Solanum lycopersicum: one gene and its partners. The protein of the gene in region 1 binds, or shares a complex with, the protein of each later gene. Links are inferred from orthologs where the notes say so. Each region holds a gene or a part of one and is shown on either strand. Other genes may lie near its edges. The genes, in order: mitotic checkpoint serine/threonine-protein kinase BUB1, mitotic spindle checkpoint protein MAD2, mitotic spindle checkpoint protein MAD1 and mitotic spindle checkpoint protein BUBR1.

Region 1 (6,203 bases):
ATCAGATTTTATCATAAAATTCCATTTCCAAAATTTAAGGCAGAAAGTGCAATTGGGCCGAGGATCTTCCGAAAACAGTCTCTCTATCTCCACGAGGTAAAGATAAGGTCTGCATACACTCTACCCTCCCTAGACCCCACTTGTGTGATTACACTGAGAATGTTGTTATTGTTGTAAAGCAGAAAGTGCAATAAGTAACTCTTAGGCACCATGCTTTCACTCTTCAAGTTGATGGGGGTGGATTTAGGCCTCTGCCACCTCTCCCTACTGGAGTTGATATCCACCAAACTACAACAGATACCATAAGGAATGAATGAGCTCTCTACATCTAGTGATAACATTCGATAACACTCCTCTGGCTCTCTTTTTATTATCTAATAGATACCCAGTAAGCATCTCATTTAAAAGAGCTTAATAATATCCATACCACCTTTAATCACACAAAAAATTGTGAGGGAAGAAAAGATGGGGGAAAGTTATGAAAAATATATGTATATCCAATTCAAACTTATGATGTGTCTGAATTAGGTGATGTTTGTTTAAAATTTTCAAGAGCGTCTAGAGAAAACAATTCAAGGGGTAATTGTGAAGGGCATACATGCTAAACAAACCAAGGCATAAAATACTAGTGTATATATTGCGGGTCAGACCCAAGTATCAAGGTACTAGTCCCAAGAGACCTCAGTCCTCCATGGTCACTGCAGGACATTTAGAAGATGTGTTGCCCCAAGGGCCAAGACCAGTCCCAACTTTGCCGTCATCTTAATCTCTGCAACTGTCAGTGAGCATCGAATACTATGTAGCCATTATAGACTAAGAAACAAGAATTTTTACCTATATCAATAGTTTTATTCCTGGCAGATTTCTGCAAAGTTGACAGTGCTACCTTTCCTGAATACGCCTTTTTGCTTGGATGGTATCCCTGATGAAAGTTCACATGTAGCTATCACGAATTGCTGTTAACATGTAAAATAGTTTCATTAAATGCTTCTGAGCAATCTCACATCATATCTTATTATCTCAGTATTCTTCTTCTGCAACAGATTTTTAATTGTTGAGATCACCCATGGATTGACACAAGATCCACCATTCTCCGACACAATGTCCATCTACGTGATGATGCATAAATAAATCAATAATATAATCCTGTGTCAACTAAACACATGGAATAAAAGAGTAAGAATTGAAATAACAGACAACATGATAAATAGTCCATAAGTATTCCAAAACAAGAGAAAATGAAAAGAGATTGTAGAACTCTGGTACATCAGAATCTCACAGTTTGAAAGAAAAGACTGTGATAAGCAACAAAGATAGCCTAGAGGCAACATGAAATTAATTATGCATGTAAATAGAATCAACGAAATGGGCAAATGAACTTGAAGGCTCCCAACGGAAATGAAGTACAGTGACTATCCTACAATCTTACCACTTGATATTCAACTTGAAGATTTTAGGCCAGCTTATCTGGATGTTAGAAACTTGACAGATCTAAAGGGTGTTAACTTTGGGTAAAGAATAGATTAAATATGACTAATAACATTCTTGGCACTGAAATTAGAATGTGTTGTATGATGTAATAGGGTGTCTGAAAGCAAACATAGAAATTCTTTGACAAATAAACTTGACTAATTACTAAAGAGCAAGACAATCATAAAATGGATGCTAAATATTCATCGTGACAAAAGTCAACACTTGACTTGCTTTATCAGCACTTGTTGACTCTCTGATAATGAACATATTCTAACAACATATGACATTGCAGATTTGAGAAGTCTGCAGATACTTAAAGTTACCAGAAAACACATTATATAATTTAAAATCATTAGGGCTCAAATTTCAAATGTAAAAATGCTCAACTTACCAATACTGGTAAGATTCCAACAAGGTGGTTAATATCTCAATACTTTTAAGTAGCTTTAGCCTTTTGGGTGTCTATTAAGTCTTAAGACTTTTTAGAAGCTGAGTTTTCAATTTATCAGATGGTCCTAAATGTTCCTTTTTTATCAGATGGCATAGTGATGATGGAATTTATTGAAGCTACACGATATTGATAGGCGACTAGAACTCTATAAATGAAACCATTCCCTTCTGTCATCTAGGTCAAAGCTCTGATGGTTAATTGTTATATCACATTCATTGATCATTTGATATATCATATGAGCTATCAACTAAATGGAACTCATCAACCGACCAAATCTACTTGTCTGGAATATTAAGAGTTAGCATTATATTTTTAGCTGGAAGCAGAAAAAACTGATATTCACATCACTATCTATGTTTCATTTATGCAGTATGGATTGAACAAGAACTAAGAAAGCTGGAAATGCAGATAGCTGAATAGATGTCAGAGATTTGGTCCTAATCTGCATAACAAGAAAATCCAAGCATGAAGCCTTAAAATGTCCTTTATGCATTTAAGCCAAGATAAATGATTTATCTCATTGAAGTTCAGCAGTTCCTTTCTAGGTAATAGCTTGATTACTGAATCCAGCATCACCAATTCCAAAGACCTAACTCTACACTTATAACATTATCACACCTTGTCCCAGTTGGCACAGATTCTGAAAAAGAACCAAACATACCTTCTGTAATGAACCAGCTGTTACTTTCTCAGACATTCTCTCAAGAAACAACACTTGTGCCTTCTTCAATCTGCCCAAAGGCTCAGCATTCCTAAAACCAGAGTCCAAAGTTCATGAATTTAATGTCATATAATACAAACGCAGACATGTGCTGACATGCATAAAGAATTATGATCCTACAAAAGAGAATATGTAACCTTGAAATTCCCAAATGGTAAATGAGAAATGCATCAATTAACCTCCCTTTTGCCTCTAGGAATAACGCATATGTCTCGTAAAGCAAAGAATTGAACAGACAAATCTTATTCTGCTCAATTTCTCTATATATGCTTTCGTGATTCGAACTGCTATCCATCTGAAACACAAGCGACCACTAGATCAGATAAAGCAACAAACATTTCACATCACTTGTATACAAAGTGCATCTTTATCACGAAAGTAGTGTACACTCTACACCAATTAACTCAAAATCCCAAATATACCTTTGCCCAAACACTTCACATCACTAGGTTAAACATATACATAAAGAAATCAATACAGGAAAAACAAAAGGGAGATAGGATTTATTACATATAGGAACCAAATCTTGAGAAATCTGACGTCGTTTCGGTACCGAGGATTGTTCTTAAAGGTACTGATGCAGTTCGAGCAAAGCTCATGCAGATCTCTTCCATCAATTGACGTTCGCTCTTTCAGTGATTTCTCAATTGACCTACGAATTAGGGCATAACATAAACAATTGAACGAGTACAAATGCAAATTTTGGGAGAAAATAAGATAAAAAGGTACCATAACCAAGGCAATAACGGGTCGTCGGAGCTAGTTGTATTGCTTTGATTTTTTGAAATGACGGCCATTGCCATCTGATTCAGCCTCACTCGCCGGAAAATGAAAAATTGTCCTACTGGTTCAGGGAGATGAAACGGGCGGGAATACAATGTATTTGAATTTTGTTGTGAGTTTCGGACTAAAATATTTCTCCAACATCCTTATATTATATAAGTAAACAAAATACATTCTTATAATATTCAAAAAAAAAATAGCAGGAATCGTCCCTCAGTATATTTTTATTAAGAAAATGATAGAATCAATAAAAAAATAATTTAATTGATCATGTTTTGACCACGACGAAAACATCAAAGTTAGCTAAAAGAAAAATAAGAATATAGATAGAAGATGAATCTTCAATTTTCAGAATCTAAATTTGAGTGTTGTTAATTTATATATTTTTTTGCATCATCAAGTAAATTGACTTGCATCAATAATACTCTCAAATTTCAATGGTTAGAAAGATTATTTTTTAAAAAAAAATCATTTCAAAAATATTACGTCCAAATATTTAGAGATTTTTTTTAATAAAATATTTAGAACGTATCTAATATATCTACAACCAAATACCAATTTACATTTTAAATAATGCACAAAAATGCTTAAAATTTAGCGAAATAGGCATTTTGTTATGAAAATAAAAAAAAAATTACTTTATTTAAAAATTTTGAAGTTAGAGTAGTATTTGCCTATATTTTTACAAAGAATATTTAGAATTTGAATGTATTTTGTCTAAATATGATTTAAATTCTCAATTCCTAAAATAAAAAATCACCTAATTTGACTAGCATAACCTTGCACATATATTCATTCGACTTGATACTTTTTTTGTTGGCAATGTTAATTTCTTAAATCAGATAAAAGGATGAATCTTGCAACTCTTTAAATAGTTCAAGAATATTTTTTGTTCACTTATATAATATAAGGATGTACTTTAGGTTTAGCTCATACTTCAACGATAGTTTTAACCAAAACTTTTTCACATGATGTGCGTATAAAATTAATCAAATCACACTTTGTTAGTTATAACTTCATAATTAATTAATTAATATTCTATCCTCAAGACAACGATGCTTTAATGTACATGTGGCTTTGTTTCAACAATGATTGATTAATTTGATTTGTATCAATTATCGTTAAATTATATGAAACCCAATATTAGGAATATTAGGTGTGTGTAAAAATTAAATTGATCGATAAATTAAATTGAAAAAAATATTATTGGATAATAAGGTTATTAAATTTTTAGTGGGTTTATTAAAAAATTATTGGGTAATTAATTTGGTATTGATTTTTACTATTGGGTTATTGGGTATGGTAACAATTTATAATTTTACCCTTTTTAATTATTTAATATATTATTAGACACTATAACTATATCAAATTATTAGTATTCTACCAACTTCACGCTAGACCGCTTTACTAGTTTTTACTGTTTACTCAAAATCTAAATATTAAAGTAAAAGGTTTACAATTGTAGTTATTTGATTTTAATTTTAGTCTTGTTAGACTATTTTTTGTTTTAGTTTGTGATCGTAGCTTGTAGCAATTTGCAAGTTTGTAAAGGTCCGTAAACTGATTAACATAAAAAAATTTCATAATATGTTTTGATGGTAACATGTAATTATAACATTCATATTATATTTTCTCTTATTGATGCATTTCTCATTATCTCTCTTGTTTCACCATATCAAAACATTTAGAGAAATGAAAAGAGATATAATATTTTACGGAAATTTTTATTGGGTAAAGGTAAACCGAAAACTAAATTGATAATAATAAAAGATCGATAAAGAATATCTTATTGGTTTGTTATTGGTTTAGCATATTTAAAAATCGAAAACCGATAAACGAAATTGATAACACATAAAATCGAACCGAACCGACCGATGCACACCCCTACCCAATTCAACAATCTCTATTAATCTTCTTTTTTTAATTTTTGGTAATCTCTTCCTTTATTTCAATTAACAAAAGAAATTAAAAATGATAAGTGACTAGTGGGTCCGACCTGTAATATAGTGCAAGCTTTAGAATTAGTAATGTAACGTATTTTATTCACTTATTACTCTTTGTATTGGTACTTCTAAACAATTGCAAATATAATATATATATATATATATATATATATATGTATATGCACGTATCTAAAAAATTTATATCGTTATTGTCCATCCTAACCTCACTTGCTCATCGGCGTTTATATCCCGTCATTATTTACCCCGTCCTTACTTGTTCATCGATTTTTCAGTTGGCCAATATTGTGCTCATATAACTTAGGAATACATAACATATACATATGATTTATCATAATTTATCATACATAACTACATACATCCAATTTCTGTTTTGAAAACACATTTATACACATACAATTAACCTCCCCACCCCACATTTATCCACTCGATTTCAATTAGGATTAGGTTTTGTGCATACACATAGTTTGCTACATTTATTTTTTTTAAAAAAAATTGTAATACATTTCAAAAAAATCATAAAATCTAGCTATATTTTGCAATTATCCATGAGAATTCACATGTACAAATTACGAAGTACATCAAATGGGCCCAAATGTTTTAATTGGGTTGTTGGGCCAAACAAACCCATCCCCACCACTGCAATAGGAATCGTACCTCACCCAATTGAAAAGACACAAGTCCATGAATTTTCAGACTTCATCAAGCACCAATAATGCCACGTTTCAATTTTTGATTGCATCAAATATATCGTCGAATTATAAGAAAAAATCAACAATAGCGAAGCTAAAAATTTTATTAAGAATTTGAAACT
Region 2 (5,755 bases), on another chromosome or scaffold:
AAAATATAGTTTTCTTGATTTTTCTCAAAAAATAAAGTGGTGACTTTAAAAAGTTGAAAATCTGAAAAAATAAATAATTTTTCTTTTTTCAAATAAAACAATATTGATTTGAAAAATATAAGTACAAAGTCATGCAATAACTGGAAAAAAATTTATCAAAAAAATTTATCTGAAGTATGCAAATACTAAAATCAACATAAATCATATGAGCCACTACATGAAGTTCAATATATTGTCAAACTAAAAAGTTGGTGTAATATTTGTCAAGATACGGGACCTGAGTGAGCTAAAGTGGGTTCACTAAGCTAGTGTCTATCTTAGACAGCTCTAAATGACCTTTTAAAATAAATTTAAATATTTCACATATTTTTTGATGAAAAAATTATTTATCTTTAAAAGGTTAATAAACTTTATATAAACTCGAATGCAAACTCATTTATTCAAAATTAAACTATTGTGAGATGTACCTAGATATATATTTTCGTATTTCTTATCAATTTAATTCAAAAAAAATACTATAAAATTTATAAATCGTAGAGATTTAATGTTATAGTCATCCTAATTAAATGTTAATACCAAATTATAAATTAGCAAATGATTAAAGGTCTTTTCTTATAGGGAAAATTAAAAACGATGCATATCATGTTTAATAAAATTACATTGAAAAATTGAACCAATAATAACTAATTGATGAATGCAAATTATATATATTTACTTTGATATTATTAATTTAAAATTTTATTAAATTTGTTTGTTTTTATATTTTAACTTTTAACGAAAACTGACTGAAACCAAATCATAAATATCCTTAAAGAAAAAACAATTGTGCTGATAATAAATATTTCAGAAATAAAACTAAAAAAATAACATCAAAGATTTATTTCTTCTTCTTCTTCTTCTTATTGTTATTATTTCATCCACTTCCCAAAATAATACAGAGATGTAATGACTATCAAAAATGGAAGACTTTAGCCATCCAAGGATCCGTGGCGCAATGGTAGCGCGTCTGACTCCAGATCAGAAGGTTGCGTGTTCGATTCACGTCGGGTTCAAATTTCCCGATTCATGAGGATCCAAATTTTTTTATTACTTTCTTATTTTATTAGACTAAAAACACTATAATTTATGTGCAATCCGTTAACTTCGACAAAAAGATCATGACATTAATTGATTATTTATTTTTAACGGCATGATAACTTTGTATGTAAGAATAAAAAAGGCACACTGATCTTCTTCCCCCGTTACCTCTCTTTTTTAGAGAATGTTGAAGGCAAATTTCAAAAGTCAAAAAAAGTATTTATTTTCTCCGTTCAAGAAATTGCCTGCGTAGTTGGGGGAGACGGAAGAAAGAAAAAAACCAAAATTTCAACATAATTTGAGTTGCGTATAAATCCAAGCCGACGCAAACAACATTATTATGTGCTATGGCAATGTGTAGACAACAAGGACGTGTAAAAAAGTACCCAAATATATTTCACAAGGCAAAAAACATGTTCACACGGAGAAATTGATCTAATTGTTCAATTTCCTTCAATACTCATTCAGGATACAAACTAATAGATGTTTCAAGGTTTACACAATCTAACATACAAAATGTGAATCAATGATTCACAATGACAACAAAAGTAAGGTACAACAAGGATCCATGGTCTAGGACTCATCCCATTCATCATCATTCTTATATGAAACCAATGTGTCAACCTTATGAATCTGCATAGAGAAAACAAAACTCGAGTTAGGGTCACCGAAATATCCAGGGGATTCGTATCAGAATCAAGCAGCAAATTGCTCCTACCTTAGTGTCAAAAGAGTGCAGTTTCACCATTTGTGGATTCGCAATCAGTTTAGGGTCACTCTCAATCCAAGTGAATGGAACTGCAACATCCATATCAGTGTATGCTAACACATCAAACACACCTACAGCCATACACACAAATGAAACAAGAAATCTCATCAAGAAACATCCCAAAAAAGCAACATTGCCATTGTATCGTAACATCCAAGCACAAATGATGCTTACATGGTTCCTCAAGGCACGGCAAATAAGTGATGCTGGACGCTATTTGCCTCATAATCGCTTGAATTTCCCTCATTATTTCTTTATCACTTTTCTCTCTTGAAACACTGGAAAATCAAATAAACCATTTAGCTAATTATTTAACAAACAATCCAACATACGAAGACATCAAAAGCAAGCCAGGGTTGAGTATTTGGCTCTGGACTATTTAAGCACACGAACGAAATTATAGGTCTTCTGCCATAATAACTCCAACATACACTTCTTTCAATCCACAATTATTAACCAAAGATGATTAACATCTTACCCTTTCTGGACAACCTCACTATCAGTTTCGATACTGAAATTCCACCTTTCTAATACCTCACCAGAGGCCTTACTCATGATGACAAGAACCACCCTTTGTAGCTTTCCAGTTTCCAACCACTCTACATGAACAAAATCGTTAAGAAAACAATCATTTCACTACCTAATATATGATCTGAACCAATCTACAGCCTCGTCAAAATTCTACAACTTACCAGCAAGTTGGGCAGTCAAGTTGGAAACAAAGGTCTTGACACCTTCATCTTCAGTAAGCAACATTGTGAGACCATATTTCTTCACTTTCTTAAAACTTTCTTCAGGATATACTCCTCTGTTGTACAAAATGCTAAATACATAATCCCCGCACAAATTCAAAAAAAAAAAATCAGCATTCAGACAAAACCATAAACAACGAACATAAAAGGAATTAATCAATCAACAATGGCCGATGGCCAACGTAAAACTAATTGGAATCAGTCAGATAAATCAATTCATCCGCTCTATTGTAGCCCATTTTAGTCCAATGCAGGTAAATAAACGAAGAACACAAAGCATTTTATTCAATCAATCGGAAAATCAACAACGTATCGATTGATGAAATCTATTCAATCCAATTTCATTACTAATCTGCTCAAACCCAATTTCATTGGGCTGAATTTCAGGTTGATAATTAATTTTCAAAGCAAATTTAGGGGTTTTGTGAAATCTATCTAAATCTGAGATCCGATCACTATGTGAACAACGTGCAAGTCTACATAACCAAAATTTGATATGAAAAAAACAGGAATTCCGAGTTGTTACCTGTTTGCAGCATAGCCAAAATATTCACTGACGATTGCGGCGGAACCACGAAGTGTGATTATGTCTTTGGAGGCTGTTCTTGACGCCATTTTCAGATTAGGAAATAGAAGTAGAAAAATGGTTATGGAGATTGATTGCTTGTGAGAGAATCAGAGATGAATTTAGGGTTTTTATGAGAATTGAGAAACATAGTGGAAGAAGCAACGGCTAGTTTTTGGAAATGACACAAAACAACGGTCAGATGGGTTTAGTGCAAAAATTGGGCCACACTGAAAATTTATAACTTATATAAGTATAGTTTATATAATTATATCTTATGAGTATAATTTAGTTTGCTATGGAGCATTTAATTTGCATATTAAGTTTTTTTTGTTTATAATTTATAAGGAAAATACATAAGTATCCCCAGACTATAACTGAAATTCTAGAGACACACCTTAACTAAATTAACTTCCTATTATCCCTGAACTTTTTTTTTTGTAATTTTGAGCACTTTTTGTCTTATATAATTATATTTTACGAGTATAATTTAGTTTGCTATGGAGCATTTAATTTGCATATTAAGTTTTTTTTGTTTATAATTTATGAGGAAAATGCATAAGTATCCCCAGACTATAACTGGAATTCTAGAGACACACCTTAATTAAATTAACTTCCTATTACCCCTGAACTTTTTTTTTTGTAATTTTGAGCACTTTTTGTCTTATGTGGCACACTTCGTGGCTCCACGCGATTGAGACACGTACGAGATATTTGAATGTCACGTAAGCTAAAAAGGTGCACAAAGTTACAAAAAATAAGTGTAAGGGGAGGGGGTGGAGGTAATAGGACCTTATTTAGTTAAGGTGTTTCTCTGTGATTTCAGACATAGTATAGGAGGGTACTTGTGCAATTTTTCATAATTTATGTAATATTCTACTTAATAAATGGATACATGAACGGTAATAAGGTAACAAAATACTTGCATAATCCCATGATTCAAGTTAATCTTTCAAATCAAATATTTTTTCAAAAAGAGTTCTATAACAATACAAACATCATAACAATTGTTATCCTCGTACCACAAAAGCAAATATAAAATGAAAAATTCATGGTTCGTCAATATTCTTGTATATTTTTCTTTTAAGAAAACTTCATGTTTTAAAGTGTGAAAAAGAATAAGATTGATTTGCATAGTATATAATTGAAATTTTTAAAATTGCAAGTAGTTATATTTGGTCATAAAAATATAAACAAATTGTATATTAACAATTCTATTCTAATTGTTGGTTAAAAAAATCGAGTAATGTTATATGTATGAGTTGTATATGTATACCACTGCATGTGGGGGGCGTATTTTCGTGGTTATTTGCAAATGAAAATAAATCCCTATGAAAACGATAAAAAGTATATGTCAATATGTAAATCGAATATTTATACAATTAATTAATATTTTCAATTATATACGTTACACATATAAACTATTTGTATAAATAAGAACTATTTATGGTTGTATATAACTATAAACTCTATATGTATATGGTTGTATATAACTATAAACTCTATATGTATATAATTATGTGTACATTAATATAGTACTTAAATATACAGAAATATACATATTATACCTCAAATATTTTTTTGTATATAACTATCAAAATATAAACTCTATATGTATAGGATTATATGTATATAAATATAGTACTTATATATATATATATATATATATATATATATATATAAATATACGTATACCTCAAAAAAATTGTATATAACTACCAAAATATACAAATCGCTATATACAAATTTATTTTATACAATTACCTGATATTCTTTAGATTTGTTAATACATAAAAAAATTTACATATACCTCAAGCAATTTTGTATGTAACCATCAAAATATACAAATTGCTACATACAAAATTATTTTATGCAATCAAGAAGATCTGATGAAGATGTTCGCGATTGATTACTATTAGAATTATTAGATATCTTGATTGATTAAAATTGTGTTTTAAGACACTACCTCCTGATCCTGATGTTCTTCGAATCTGTCAATTTCAGATTCACTCTCCTGTGAATCACTGGTTATTGCTTTCCTCTTTGTTCCTCCTTTGACAATTTTAATGCCGCTAGCTATGACGTTGTTAATAACTTTTTGAACTACCATTGAGTCATTTTTTTTCTTGGATCTCAATTCTTCCATTGATTGCTCATCTTGAACTTATATGGATAGACCCCAAAATCTTGAGTTAAATTCATTAAAAACGAGAGTAATTTGTCAACAAAATTGACATGCAATGACATACATTTGGTAGTCCTCATAAATGAAGATGATTCATCTATTCTGATTTTGAAGAATTTATAATCTAATGAGAAAGAACGATTATTTTAACAAAAAAAATAAAAAAAATTAAGAAGCACAATATATATACAATTGTTGAAGAAGGAAAAAATAAAATAAAAATTGATTCACGGCTAAATTTTGGCGGTTACCTGTGAAAGATGAAATCAATACCGTAGCGAGTAGGTGAAATTTTTGCCGATTTGAATTTCAAAATCGGAGTGAATGAGTGATTATAGGAGAAAGAGGTGGAGTAGAAATAGGAGAGATAAAATTGATTTGTATAAATTTATATACAAAATCAAAAA
Region 3 (6,269 bases), on another chromosome or scaffold:
TCTTTTCATATTATATAAATTTCACTTTTTTAAGAAAATAAATGAGTTTACTATTATACCCTTATTTATTGTTTTTAAGTCAAAATTTCAATAAATGAATATAAATTAGTTGGTCAAATTCATATTTTGAAGGCTAATAAACTCTCAAAGGTGAAATAGAGAGAATATATATATAGATTTTCTGAAATGACAGATATAATATTAATAAACATATATTTTTTAGTGAGAACAAAATAGAAATCAAATGAAGTATAATTCTAGCTTTAAAATAAAATAAAAATAAAAAAACGATCATCATTATAAAAATTCAACACTAAAGTCAAAGATTATTTTCAATTATATACTAAATAGCACAATTTTTAAGAGGATATAAATTACTTTATTTTTATAAAAAAATGATAGCTTAATGAAATATATATTATATTTTGTTATTTTCTTGATTGACGTAAAAAATAATAATTATTTAGGCCGATCAATTAAATACTTTGATATTCTCTTTAATATAGTATGTATTCGATTTATATAGGTGTTATTCAATTCATAAGTGACCATCAAAATATTATTTGAGGTAAACTATAGTTACTTATTATTTGGGTTAAGAAACACGTTTGTAAACTTATAATCATGTTTATAAATTAAGTTTAATATTGTTTAAGAACTTAAAGATGGTCTAAAAATGATGCTGCTGAAATTGTTAAACACAAAAAATTGAAGTATGATGCATTCATATTGCAATAAATTAAACGTGTTGTAATAAAAAAAATATTTTGTCAAACTAAAAGTTTTAAACTTTTACAAGTCAATGTTATTTTTTTTCTATAAGTTAATATTTTTTTCTTTTTTATTTCATGGTTTTAATTAAGGTGGAGGGTCAATTAGATTTCAAAAATTCTTTATGTCCCATAAATTTCTATGCACGTACATCTGAATTTTTATTTCAAATGTCATTATCATATTAGCTCAAAGACATTAACAAAAATAAAATTAGGAGAAAATTAAGAAATCTTTTTCCCGGGTCTTTAGGGATAATGGAGACAAAAATGGTCAAAAATTTATTAGGAATTATTTTAGTATGGTCTTGAATAATATTTGTAGGTTGATTTTTGAAAAATTATATATTTAATGTTCAATATAGATTCTAATAATTTAGGCAGGTAAAGAAAATAATATATAGTAAAAAACAAAATTTATATAAAAAAAAAAGTAATGTAGTTTCAATTTATTTTTTATTATCATCTCAAAATTAAATGTCAATCATTTTTTATATGATGACTTTATTTCAAAATCGGTATATTATTGGTGTTGGGTTTAATTTCAATAAGCCTAACATCACTGTTCAACATAATATATAACCTATTTTAACAAGAGTATAATATATTAGCATTGAAAAATTACCTATCATTTTCGATAAGTACACTTATAAGTTGAAATAATTTTCTTTAACACTTTTGTAGTGTACAAGTAAATAAAAAAAAAAAGTTTTTAAGCACTTGTTTTATTAGTTAGTCTCATGTGCTTATTTTTAGTGGTTAATTATCTTATGCTTACAACAAGTTAAAGTTTTTGCATAGAATACCTTTGTTTTGGGATGATATTAATTTTTTGTCCATTAAATTTATGGTCTTTAATTTTTGCCTTTATTGTCTATTTAATGAAAATTTGTGGACCTAATAAGTACTTTAAATTGTGACCTAAATTTGTTGGGCAAAACTAATATCACAAAGGCAAATTTTTTTAGAGAGTGTTTAGATTGAAGTATAAATTTTATAATATCTGATATTTGGATTTCTAATTTGAGCCACTGAAGCATAACTTGTGTCTTTGAGTTTTTTTTTTTAATGGGGTCTTGGGATCATAATTTGTGTTACTAAATTATTGTTCTAGGATATAGCTTTAACTGAACTTATATCTCGTTTTTCATTTTTTACGCTCTAAAAAATAAAGGAAATTGTATAAAATAGCAAGTTATTAATTCAAATTAAATGTTGTAAACAAGCTTCGATTTAATTGTGCCCTATAGCAAACTATTGTTATTTTCGCCTCTTTACTTGGTGGATCTCGCTCGCCACTCTCGTTTGGTGGCAGTCTCACTCACCTCTCTTGCTTTTTATACAAACACAAATGTATAAAATGCGTTTGTGTTTGTATAAATCGCCAGGAAATTGTATATATACGTATATTTTCGTTTTCCTCTCTCTCCTCTTCCATATCTCGCTCTCCACTCTCCCATATCTCGCTCGCCACTCTCCCAGATCTCGCTCGCCTCTCTCCTTATACAAACAGAAACGAAATGTATAAATTACGTTTCTGTTTGTATAAAGCGATAGAAAATTGTATATACACGTGTAAATGTATATACACTTATAATTATACAATATAAATATTTTCCTACCCAGCTTTTTTTGCTTTTCTCCATTTCTCGTTTTATACATACACCAATTATATAATTGATCTTTTGTATACAACTGTTTTCTTTTGTATATGTATAACGAATTAACAACTGTTTTGTTTGTATGTGTATAGCAAATTATACATCTGTTTTTTTTTTGTATATGTATAACGAAATATACATATTTATATTTGCTATGGATCTTAATTATGCAAACTATAGCTGTAAGCCTATAATAAGCCAATATGAATTTTATGTTTGTTACACGTGAGTGTTACTCAAAAATAAAGATATTAAATATTACTCCTATTTTGAAGAGCAAAAATTAGTGAGAGGCCCAAAATAAGGACATTTGTGGGAATGACCCAAACAAGTGTAGCAGTAGCCCAAAGGGATTCGGGTCATCTCTGGCGACGGATTATTTGGGTCCGATTCACCAATTGGCGCCTCAGTTTTCGAAACACTTGCAGTAGCTGCTTCGCCTCTTACATTTTCATCAATCGCCATCATCGGAGCTTGATTCAATTACTGTAGAAGTTATCAAAACCCTAGTATTATGATCCTGAGAACACCACCATTCAAGCGAAAGGCGCAGAGCAATCAACCGGAAGATGGAAGTCCCAGCTCCGGCAATCAGCAGCTTGTCATCTTCGAGGATACACCGTTGCCGGAATCATCTCACCATCACCCAGAATCTTCCGAACAAATGCTCTGCACTTATCAATGCCGCCAAATGGTATTCATTCATTAATTCCCACTCTCTTCATTACAATTCCAGTATTGAATTGATTTTTTAGTAAATTCAAGGTTTTAAATCAGTGACTGCAGACATAGTGAGGCTTATACCTATTTTTCTTCTTATGTGGTAGTGGAAATTGCAACTATTTATGTATATATCTTGAGATGAAGATAGTAGGTGCACCCATTCCCTTGACTGTTTCAGTTTTTTCGCTTTGTCCACCTAATGAGATTTTCCCAGACTAAACATGTCTGTGATTTTATTGCTACTGGAGTGCTAATTAATCCATGTTAAGAGAATGGTTTTTCGAACTTGGGTTGATTCCTTGATGAGCTTTATATTCAAAGTTTATTCATATGTTGATAGAATTTGCTCTTAGATGTGTATACCAATTCGTAGTTGATTCTTGAGTCAACTTGAGGCTGAGCTTCTTCACAATGAACTAATCACAAGCAAGATTTTTTTATATAAATTAATTAGAACATTGTTTGCTAGTTTTCTGTATACTACTTGCATACAGGTGTTTTATGCCCTCCATTAACACAATCTACTTCATCTTTTTTGATAACACAAATGTACTTACTTCACTAAAGAACAACTTATAATTGCATCTTAAATGGACTCAAATTGAGCTAATCTTGGTTAGCACATTTGGATAGCGTCACAGAAGATGATGGAAGACCTCTGAGTTAAATAATATATTCCTTTAAGTTAACATTCTTGTGTCTCTTATATTGGCCAATGACCGATCAACGGCTCCCTGTCTATTTATTGTACTCAGTTCTTGTGATAGCCTGCACGAGTTTGCTTATATCTATATAAAACAAATTCTGTTATCAGGTGAAGTCAGAGTTTTTTGATGCCTTAAGCAGTGCAGAAAAGCAAGCTCGTGATAACCAATCGAAACTTGAAGCACTAAACAATGATTATCTTAAAGCTGGTGAGTGATAAATATCCAATTCTGTGAATTATGATAGACTGGGTACATGATTTTGTTTCTCCTTGTCCTTTCAACAAACTTTTTTAAAAGTTTACCTTCTACTGCTCAATTTAATGCACTTTTACACCAGAGAATGAAGATTCTTTGATAGAGACATCTATAGAGCACACTACAATTGTTCCTTGGCTAAGCTAATCTTGTTTGTACAGTTCAATTGCTCCCCTGATTTCAATTGTTAAAAGGCTGTCTTCTTTATTTCAAAATTTATATGTGAGAACTGGCAACTTCACTGAAGTAACTTTCCAACATACACACACGTGTTTACATAAATGGATACAGGCATACATATATAGATACACACAAACATACATCCATTCATACACATATTGGAGTGATATTATTTGTCTTCATATCTTTTGTCTCCTTAATCATGTGTTGACTCCTTTGTAGCAACTGTCATGCCTTTTATTTTTCTTTTGTTAATTTCCTTTGTATTTTTTTCTCTCTGTTCACCACTGACCCTTTACTCCACTGGAGGGATAATGACTATTTGGTTTGTAATTCACCTTTTCTGCAAAGTATACTCCAATACTTATTGATTAATTTGCATGATGACATGAATTACACGTGCAGATGCTGAAAGGAAGAAATTTCGTGATCAATTTCTCAATGCAGAGCAAGAACTAGCTGCTGCTAAAGGGCGTGAAGAGGCTCTGCAGGACCAGCTAATGAAGGAGGTCAACGTTTCTCATGAACGGCTCAGAAAACAGTTGCAGTTGTACAATGAACTTGAGGTGCTAGATGTTAATTGTCATTTCTCATTATATTTATGTCACATTCTTGAGAAGAATTAATGGGTTCTCTTTGGCTGGCATGTTTTTAAGCTGCTGTATGAGTTCATCAATAATTTGGTCTAATCTGTAAATTGAACTTAACTTTAAGGCAATTTGGTTTGGTAAGTGTGATAATTTATGCCTAGGAAGAGACTACACTCTCTTTTTGACAAGGAATTCTTAGACACACAGATGGAAGAGATCAAATGGGAATAAGAAGCAATCTCGCTTTCCTTTTCGATCATTTTGATAGAGGGGGATGACGTAAGGGGACGAAACAAATTAGCATTTCTCATTGAACAAATACAAGAAAAAAATCATATTGAAAACACTCAACCCCTTCCTCTGAATAGCCCGTGTATAAGTGATCTGGAGAGGAAACCCACTTGTGGGACTATATTGGGTATGTTGTTGTTGAGGATAATAAGCAGTTTCCACTTATAAATCACTTTGAATATATATCAAATGAGATCCTTCTTAGATTCTACATCTTGAAACCAAGCCAATTTTTGCACTCTGTGCTCCAAAACAACTGGAGTCATCGCATTTACCCTGCAAAAGTCTTGGAACCAACCAAGACTGAACATGGACTCTGTAAGAAGCGAGTCAGACACTATCTTAATCTGATTAGACTGCATCTTAAACTTTATTACATTTTTTTTCTTTCCAACTGAAATAAAAAGTAGCAGGGACCATAATTTTCAAGTTATAATGATAATGACACTGATTTGTGACTAATAATGTGTACATCTATCTCCTGATAAAAGAAACTGTGTACATCTATCTCATTTGTTGAGGTGTGGTGACTTGGTCCTCAATGCTCAGCACAAGTCATGCTTTGGTCGTAATATTAGAGTTGTTTTCTGTTATTTCTTTCTTTAAGCAACAATTTATAGCAACATGTATACATCAGAGTGTAAATGCATAGGAGGAGATTTACCATTTAACTGCTGAATGAATGGTTGGGGACATACCTCCAGTTATTCATGTTTCTATTGGAGGTTTTCTTTGCTAGCATTTATCAATTCTTGAGGTACTTAATCTGTATAACTTTCTTAACTATCTCCTTCGTGCCATCTGTGATATAATTTGTCTCCCATCTCATTGTCTTCTAGGTGAAGTTCCAAAACGAGATGAATCTTCGTAAAAAAGTTGAGACGTCAGCTGCTGCAGCAGAAGAAAAAGCAAGTCTTTTAGAGAGAAAGCTTAGTAGTGTGTCGGAAAGTATAGAAAGAGAGAAAAGTCGTTTGCAGAATGATCTTGAGCTGCTCAAAAGTGAATCCAAGTTTTCTATCACAAAAATAAGTAACAATGTGAGAATTTGTTCTGTGAAAGCTCTGTCTGAGGTGCAAGGAAATGCTATATCCA
Region 4 (6,300 bases), on another chromosome or scaffold:
ATTTCTGGTGGAAAAAAAAATGTACAGATTTCTTGTGAAATTATAACGAACAATATAATCTCATATCTCTATCACAATCAGGGCATCATTTAGTACTGCTCAACTAACATAAAACGACATCGTCTGGTATTTCTCGGTTTGGAGATAAGGTTCCATCTTCAGCTTGGGGCCCATGGGAACAGTTCTTCCACCTTTGCCTTTTTCTCTTCTCCTCTCCTCTCCTGGGTGGACTTTCAGTTTTATCAAATTTTGCTTTGATTTTTTTAGTTTTTAGTTTTTACAAAAACGTGCATCTATTTCAAATCAATTCTTTTACATGTTCTAAAAAATTAATTAATTTTTATATAATCTTACAAAATGAGCAAATTGTTATTTATACACGTGTGTTATAGAGATGGCAATGGGATTGGATGTGTGTGCCGAGGGGTATGTTTATGGCTATGTTTATGGTTTTAAGGTTGTGTGGTGCGGTTAGATGTGGAGCTGATTGAAGTAGGCTTTTTAAAAATTAATGTGGAGTGGGACGGGTTGCAAGTATATGTAATTTTATGTGAATTCAAACTTATTTTTAGTTTTTACATGTTATAAGAGTGATAGAACATTATTTATTAAGATAATTTCTTTTAAGCTACTAAAATATTTAAAATAATAAATAAAAATGGTTTAATAAAAATAATAAAATTTCTTACCAATTTCCCAGTTGACCTCTTAAAAATAATTTTTAGGCCAACTACATAAACAAATCCCTAAACTTGTTGGGTTTTTCCCCTCATGTACCTCAACTACGTCATTTTTCAATTGAATCATTCAACCACCCATAATTTGTTTCTTTAAAACACTGTTGGTTGATTTTGATCAGCTTTTCTATTGTAAATGTCTTCAATTGTGTTCGAATTGTAATAATTTTGATTGAAGGAATGAAGACTAACTGTGTTAGTCTCATTTGTTTTCTAATGTGTTCAAATGACTCAAGTAAAACATAATTATTCTCAAACATTTTCACTTTCAATTGGACTAATTATTTGTGGAACAACATATGTATCCTCTATCAATACCCCTCACAAATCTGATTTCACATCAGACAACAGTGTTTGATTAAACAGAACAAATTATGGGAGTTCAATTATTCAATAGGAAAATGACGTAGTTAAGGTACCTGAGGAAAAAAACCTAACAAGTTTAGGGATCTGCTTCTGTATTTGGCCTAAATTTTAAATTACTATCCTATTAAATTAATACAACTTAATGAAAAGATAAATTTATTTTTATGAATTTTATCTTAGTATCAAATATAATTAGAAAAAGAAAATATTAAAAAAATTATGGGAGGCAGGTTGAAAATGAAAAGAGTTGTCATGCAGGGCGCGGCGAGGCGCGGCAGATTAAAATTTTTGCGGGTTAAGCTCAACCCGCAACACCCCACCCTACACCACCGCATTGCCATCTCTAATGTATTTTTAATAACTTAATCTTTGTATTTTTTAAAAAATAAATGTTTGAAATTATAAATTTGTATTATTTTTATAATTAACCACTAGTCAATAAATAATATTGATTAATTATTATTTTAACGAAAAAGACTCATAAATATTCATAAACTATCTGAAATAACTCATATTTACGTTTAAACTATATTTCAGTTCAAAACTATCCTTCCCATAATACTATTGGGTCAAAAATATATTTCTTATTAACGGAATTTGTTAAATGTCATGTGGATGTCACATTCCATGTCAATTTGGTTCTACTGCCACATAGAATAAATGGAAAAGGGGTAAAAAATACCCTTAAACTATTCGAAATAGCTCATATTTATCCTTAAACTATATTTCGGCTCAAAACTATCATTCCCGTCAAACTATTAGATTAAAAATATCTTCTTATTGATGAAAATTGTTAAATATTATGTGAATATCAGATTGATTGCAAATAAGATTTCATTGTCACATAAACTAAATCTCTAAATTTGAATTAAATTGAATTAAATATTTTACTAATAGGTCATATTATTAATTTCCGGGTAAATTCCAACGGTCTAAATTCGATGTACTTGGCCCACTTTGTTGTTTGTAGTAGCGCACTCGTTAAAAAACATTACTTATCTTATATTCAATCATGGTGGGACCAATAATATTGCGAAAATCTGGAATTTAAAGGAGGGTCCAACGGCTATGAAAGGAAGGGTTTAGGGCACAAAACAATTTCAAATTTGAAAGAAGGCTCTCAAAAAAACACCACCACAAGGAAGCAGCAAGAAGAAGAAATGGAGAAGGTAGGAGGAGATTACGTATTGGATAAGGAGGCAGAGTTCTTAGCGTCGAAGCAAGAGACTGGTCACGAGTGGGAACTCTTCAAGGAAAATGTCAGACCTTTGAAGAGAGGACGCAACGTTAATCTTCTCAATAATGCTCTTAAGTCTAGTACCGATTATCAACTCAAGAAATCTCTTCTTGACAAACGAAGGTTCCTCTATTTCTTCTTCTTTGCATTTTCATGACATTTACTCCTGAGGTTGGTCCAAAATGCAATTACTATTCCATCCCGCACTAGATTTTGATTAAGATGTACACGCTAGTTGTAGAATAGTAGCAGTTGCTGCATCCCTTATTAATTTTTGAATTCAACTCTTTCTGATTAGGGAATTTATTGAAGCAATTGACAAGTACAAAGGTGAAGATCCTCTTCACCCATGGCTCCAGTGAGTGCTCTTCTTTTCAGATGCAAATAATTTTTCAACTCTTATATCTTCTACTAGCATTTAATGAGTCAATCTCTGTTATTGAATAAACTGCTGACATAATTTTACATTAAAATTGTGAAGGTGCATCAAGTGGGTGCAAGAGGCTTTCCCTCCCGGTGGGGACAGTTCTGGACTTATAGTTATTTATGAACAATGTGTCCGCACCTTTTGGCACGATGAACTATATAAGAATGACCTCCGTTACTTGAAAGTGTGGCTGGAATATGTGAGTTTGATTTCTCCACATCCATTCTTTTGCCCCTAAATCTTCTCATCATGCAATTTGGTAAATCAGTTTTCTTATTGATGGCTCTTTGCAGGCTGAAAATTGTATGGATGCTGAAGTCATTTATAGCTTTCTGGAGGCTAACAAAATTGGACTGACACATTCTTCATTCTACATAGCCTATGCTTTGCACATGGAATCTCAAAATAAAATTAAAACAGCAAACGAGATCTTCAATCGGGGGCTATCTATGTAAGTTGTGTTTCCATTGAGCCTTGGTTTAATTTTAGCCGTAAAGTTAGGTTCTTGCATAGTTAACATTGTGTTTCACTTCACACTAGGCAAGTGAACACGTCTTGGTTCCAGAGAAGTTATGCTATATGTTGTCTATGATGTGAGATGCATCATTCAAATGGTTTATTGAATTGCTGTCTGATATTTTTGTTCAAATAGCGTTTGATATGTCAAGTCTAATGATGTCTACGAAAGTTGCATTAATTGTATGCTAGTATTGAGTAATGTGTGGGGGCTGGGGGGGGGGGGGGGAGGGGATTTATGTTTGAAGCTTCGCCAAAATGAGTTCAGTGTTAAGTATGAAGCTGCACGGATAAGTATGTGGTGTCCCCTTCATATTGACCTACTAATTTTCATACCTTGAATACTAAGACAATTTCATTTGATAAGCTCAGAGGTCAGAACTGTGGTAGATTACATTGCTTACGGTCCCTTATTTTATGTTCTTTCAATATATGCTCATGTGACCGAATAATAAACTAAAGGCCGTGATCGTATGACAGTGGTATGCTTCTAGAAAACTTTATAATTATTAATTGCCATATGATGAACATATTTGATATCCTTATTAAGGAAATTTTGTATAAGCCGAGTAATATGATTATGAAGAACTACATGTATCTTTTTGAATTATGAAATGATTGGTTCCTTTATAGGCATCAATTGAATCAGATAGTACCATGTCACACAATTATGTTAAGCATTTGTACAGGATGAACAACAGAGACGTTATCATTGAGAAATTTGTGCTCTGGAATTAATCATTTATTTAGCTAATATAGATATTTCAGGTATGGCAGCATGCAAAATAGCCAGTGCCACTGTTCATTGAACTTTGCTTAATTACACAACCTAATCATGTTGTTTGTAACTTGTATAGCATGATTTTCTACTAAGAGCATTTCATGCCTTCAAAACAGCAAGTCTCTGTATGTGTTTCTAATAAAATGCTCTAGCTATCAACTGTTGACATAAGAATATATTGAAATATTTATTTCTTGTTCACATTTGCCTCATTCTTGAGGGACCTTTTATATTCTCTCTCTACTTGTTTTAACTTCTGATGGGGATGTGAATGCTATGATGCTGGCCAAACTTGCTGGCAGAATAATGCTACAGCAAGGTGAAAATTCTAATATATTTGGCATGATATTATTGTGGATGCTCAATTGGTTTTAGATATTACCTGACACCTAAATACCTTTGGGGGTAGTTTGGTTGTTGGATAGAGTTGTGCAGGTATTAGTTATGTAGGGTTCAATTATTTACGTATTACTAATTCATGTATTAGTTATACCATCTTCAAAGCTGCATAAAATAATACATAGATTGACGCCTAACTAGTACATGTTTTAGTTATGTGAGATTGTAAACCGTAAGCAAAAAACCATACTTGATGTGCTGAGTTTTATACATAGCAACTAAAATGCTGCCAAAAATGGTACTAGTTTATGCAGATTTTAATATATGAATAATCTAACCAACAACTAAACGACCCCTTGGGCTGCCTCAACAAGATTGTGGATGCTCTTTTTTCAAGCTTTCTTAGCCACTAATGAGTCTTTTCCATTAGAGATACAGTTAATACAAGTACAGAACACTGATTACACCAAGTAACCTTCCTCCTGCTTGTTCTCATCCACTTATAAGCCTATTTACTGACTCCCTCAGCTGGTTTATGATTAAAATTTCCGTCTCCTATGAATCAGGAATGCAGAACCTGAAGAGAAATTGAAAGTATCCTACAAGAAGTTTTTCAGTCGTTCAATGGGTCGCCCCAAAGCAGCAGAGGTATCAATTATTGTGACGACTTAAGTCCATTGTCGTTTGCTTTGATTTGAATTTGTGACGATTTGTATTTCAGGAGGAGATAACAGAACACCAGCTTCCAATGAGAAGCTTTGGCACACTGTTGGCTAGGGGGGAAGCTCGTAAGTGCATTTCTATGTCGTAGCTTCAGGGTGTCTGCTTGCTTTGGTTAACATTGTTTTTGCCTTTGCAGGAAACCAAACAACAGGAACTTCTGAATTGTCCCGGAAGAAAATGAAACCAGATAGGTAAGTGTGAGTCACTATTGTTTTCTCCCAAGTTACGTTCTTGTGTCCCTGCATTTTTCATAGTAACACCATGAGTTAAACAAATCTATGTCGTTATTACTTGTTCTTATCATCACATAGTTAAGCTGCTATGTCAGGCAAGAGATCTGATTCTGATGAGTTCTTGTTTTAAATACCTTAAATCCTTTGCAATGTGGAAAAGAACTTTTTGTTGTTATTGCTGCCTATTCCATAACTTGAAGGAAAAGGAGTGTAAGGATGCTGATAACAAGGTTGCAGGAAATACTTACCTTTTTGCATGCCCAGTTCTAGTAGAAACACTGGCTCATTTTTATCTATTTTGCAGAGCTCAGGGGAGCCTATTTTCCATTTACAAAGATGCAAATGCCGGAATGTCATCAACTCTTCAATCAGAAATACCAAAGCTAGAGAATACATCATGGCACTGTCTTGGTGCCCGAGCAGATAGGAACAAGGAGAATCAGGCAATCCCTTCAAAGTGGACATCTAATAAGGTCCGTTTGAGTCCAGAGAGTTCAAAATAGAATATTTGATTTTTTGTCCAAACAGATAGGAACAAGAAAACTCATTAACAAAAATATTTCTTACAGATTCCTCAAAGACACGGGCTTAGAAATCGAGGAGCTACTACTACCACCACTCCGTGCCTAGAGATCTTTGTGGATGAGGAATGTGCCAAGTGAGTACCCATATAGATACAATGGTTTTTTGAGTGCGAACAACACATAGTTAACACTTAACAGTGTGTGTACATGCATCAAGACAAGGAGATTTTCAGCTATTGTAATAGTGTTAGTTTGTGGATTGACTTTCTTTGTTGCCCCCCTTCATCTTTGGCAGAGCACAGGAGAAGGACTCTGCTGCTGGTGTAAAGGCTTCTAGTCTGCAGCTTAGACGAGGAGATGACAAAGACATAAAAAAGTAAGTATCAAGTTTGTTTCTTCACTTCAATAAAAAGAAAG

The links.
Region 2: mitotic checkpoint serine/threonine-protein kinase BUB1 (region 1) and mitotic spindle checkpoint protein MAD2 share a complex: the UniProt entries of both Arabidopsis thaliana proteins name them as parts of the mitotic checkpoint complex. The link is inferred for Solanum lycopersicum from reciprocal best matches to the Arabidopsis thaliana genes AT2G20635 and MAD2.
Region 3: mitotic checkpoint serine/threonine-protein kinase BUB1 (region 1) and mitotic spindle checkpoint protein MAD1 share a complex: the UniProt entries of both Arabidopsis thaliana proteins name them as parts of the mitotic checkpoint complex. The link is inferred for Solanum lycopersicum from reciprocal best matches to the Arabidopsis thaliana genes AT2G20635 and MAD1.
Region 4: mitotic checkpoint serine/threonine-protein kinase BUB1 (region 1) and mitotic spindle checkpoint protein BUBR1 share a complex: the UniProt entries of both Arabidopsis thaliana proteins name them as parts of the mitotic checkpoint complex. The link is inferred for Solanum lycopersicum from reciprocal best matches to the Arabidopsis thaliana genes AT2G20635 and BUBR1.

What each region holds. Positions count from the first base shown.
Region 1 is NC_090806.1:64,725,980-64,732,182, reverse strand, and holds the start of mitotic checkpoint serine/threonine-protein kinase BUB1, read right to left. Parts: upstream 3,567-6,203; 5' UTR 3,449-3,566; coding exon 3,375-3,448; intron 3,298-3,374; coding exon 3,156-3,297; intron 2,941-3,155; coding exon 2,783-2,940; intron 2,677-2,782; coding exon 2,586-2,676; intron 1,110-2,585; coding exon 1,005-1,109; intron 923-1,004; coding exon 835-922; intron 1-834. UniProt on the Arabidopsis thaliana protein: Serine/threonine-protein kinase that performs 2 crucial functions during mitosis: it is essential for spindle-assembly checkpoint signaling and for correct chromosome alignment. Has a key role in the assembly of checkpoint proteins at the kinetochore.
Region 2 is NC_090804.1:8,536,923-8,542,677, forward strand, and holds mitotic spindle checkpoint protein MAD2, read right to left. Parts: upstream 3,396-5,755; 5' UTR 3,214-3,395; coding exon 3,125-3,213; intron 2,670-3,124; coding exon 2,539-2,669; intron 2,446-2,538; coding exon 2,325-2,445; intron 2,125-2,324; coding exon 2,021-2,124; intron 1,918-2,020; coding exon 1,796-1,917; intron 1,711-1,795; coding exon 1,651-1,710; 3' UTR 1,451-1,650; downstream 1-1,450. UniProt on the Arabidopsis thaliana protein: Required for the execution of the mitotic checkpoint which monitors the process of kinetochore-spindle attachment and delays the onset of anaphase when this process is not complete.
Region 3 is NC_090800.1:87,721,741-87,728,009, reverse strand, and holds the start of mitotic spindle checkpoint protein MAD1, read left to right. Parts: upstream 1-2,702; 5' UTR 2,703-2,945; coding exon 2,946-3,125; intron 3,126-3,968; coding exon 3,969-4,068; intron 4,069-4,701; coding exon 4,702-4,862; intron 4,863-6,016; coding exon 6,017-6,214; intron 6,215-6,269. UniProt on the Arabidopsis thaliana protein: Required for the execution of the mitotic checkpoint which monitors the process of kinetochore-spindle attachment and delays the onset of anaphase when this process is not complete.
Region 4 is NC_090803.1:68,278,050-68,284,349, reverse strand, and holds the start of mitotic spindle checkpoint protein BUBR1, read left to right. Parts: upstream 1-2,072; 5' UTR 2,073-2,263; coding exon 2,264-2,463; intron 2,464-2,638; coding exon 2,639-2,698; intron 2,699-2,821; coding exon 2,822-2,966; intron 2,967-3,060; coding exon 3,061-3,218; intron 3,219-4,969; coding exon 4,970-5,051; intron 5,052-5,124; coding exon 5,125-5,191; intron 5,192-5,262; coding exon 5,263-5,317; intron 5,318-5,663; coding exon 5,664-5,832; intron 5,833-5,928; coding exon 5,929-6,017; intron 6,018-6,178; coding exon 6,179-6,259; intron 6,260-6,300. UniProt on the Arabidopsis thaliana protein: Essential component of the mitotic checkpoint. Required for normal mitosis progression. The mitotic checkpoint delays anaphase until all chromosomes are properly attached to the mitotic spindle.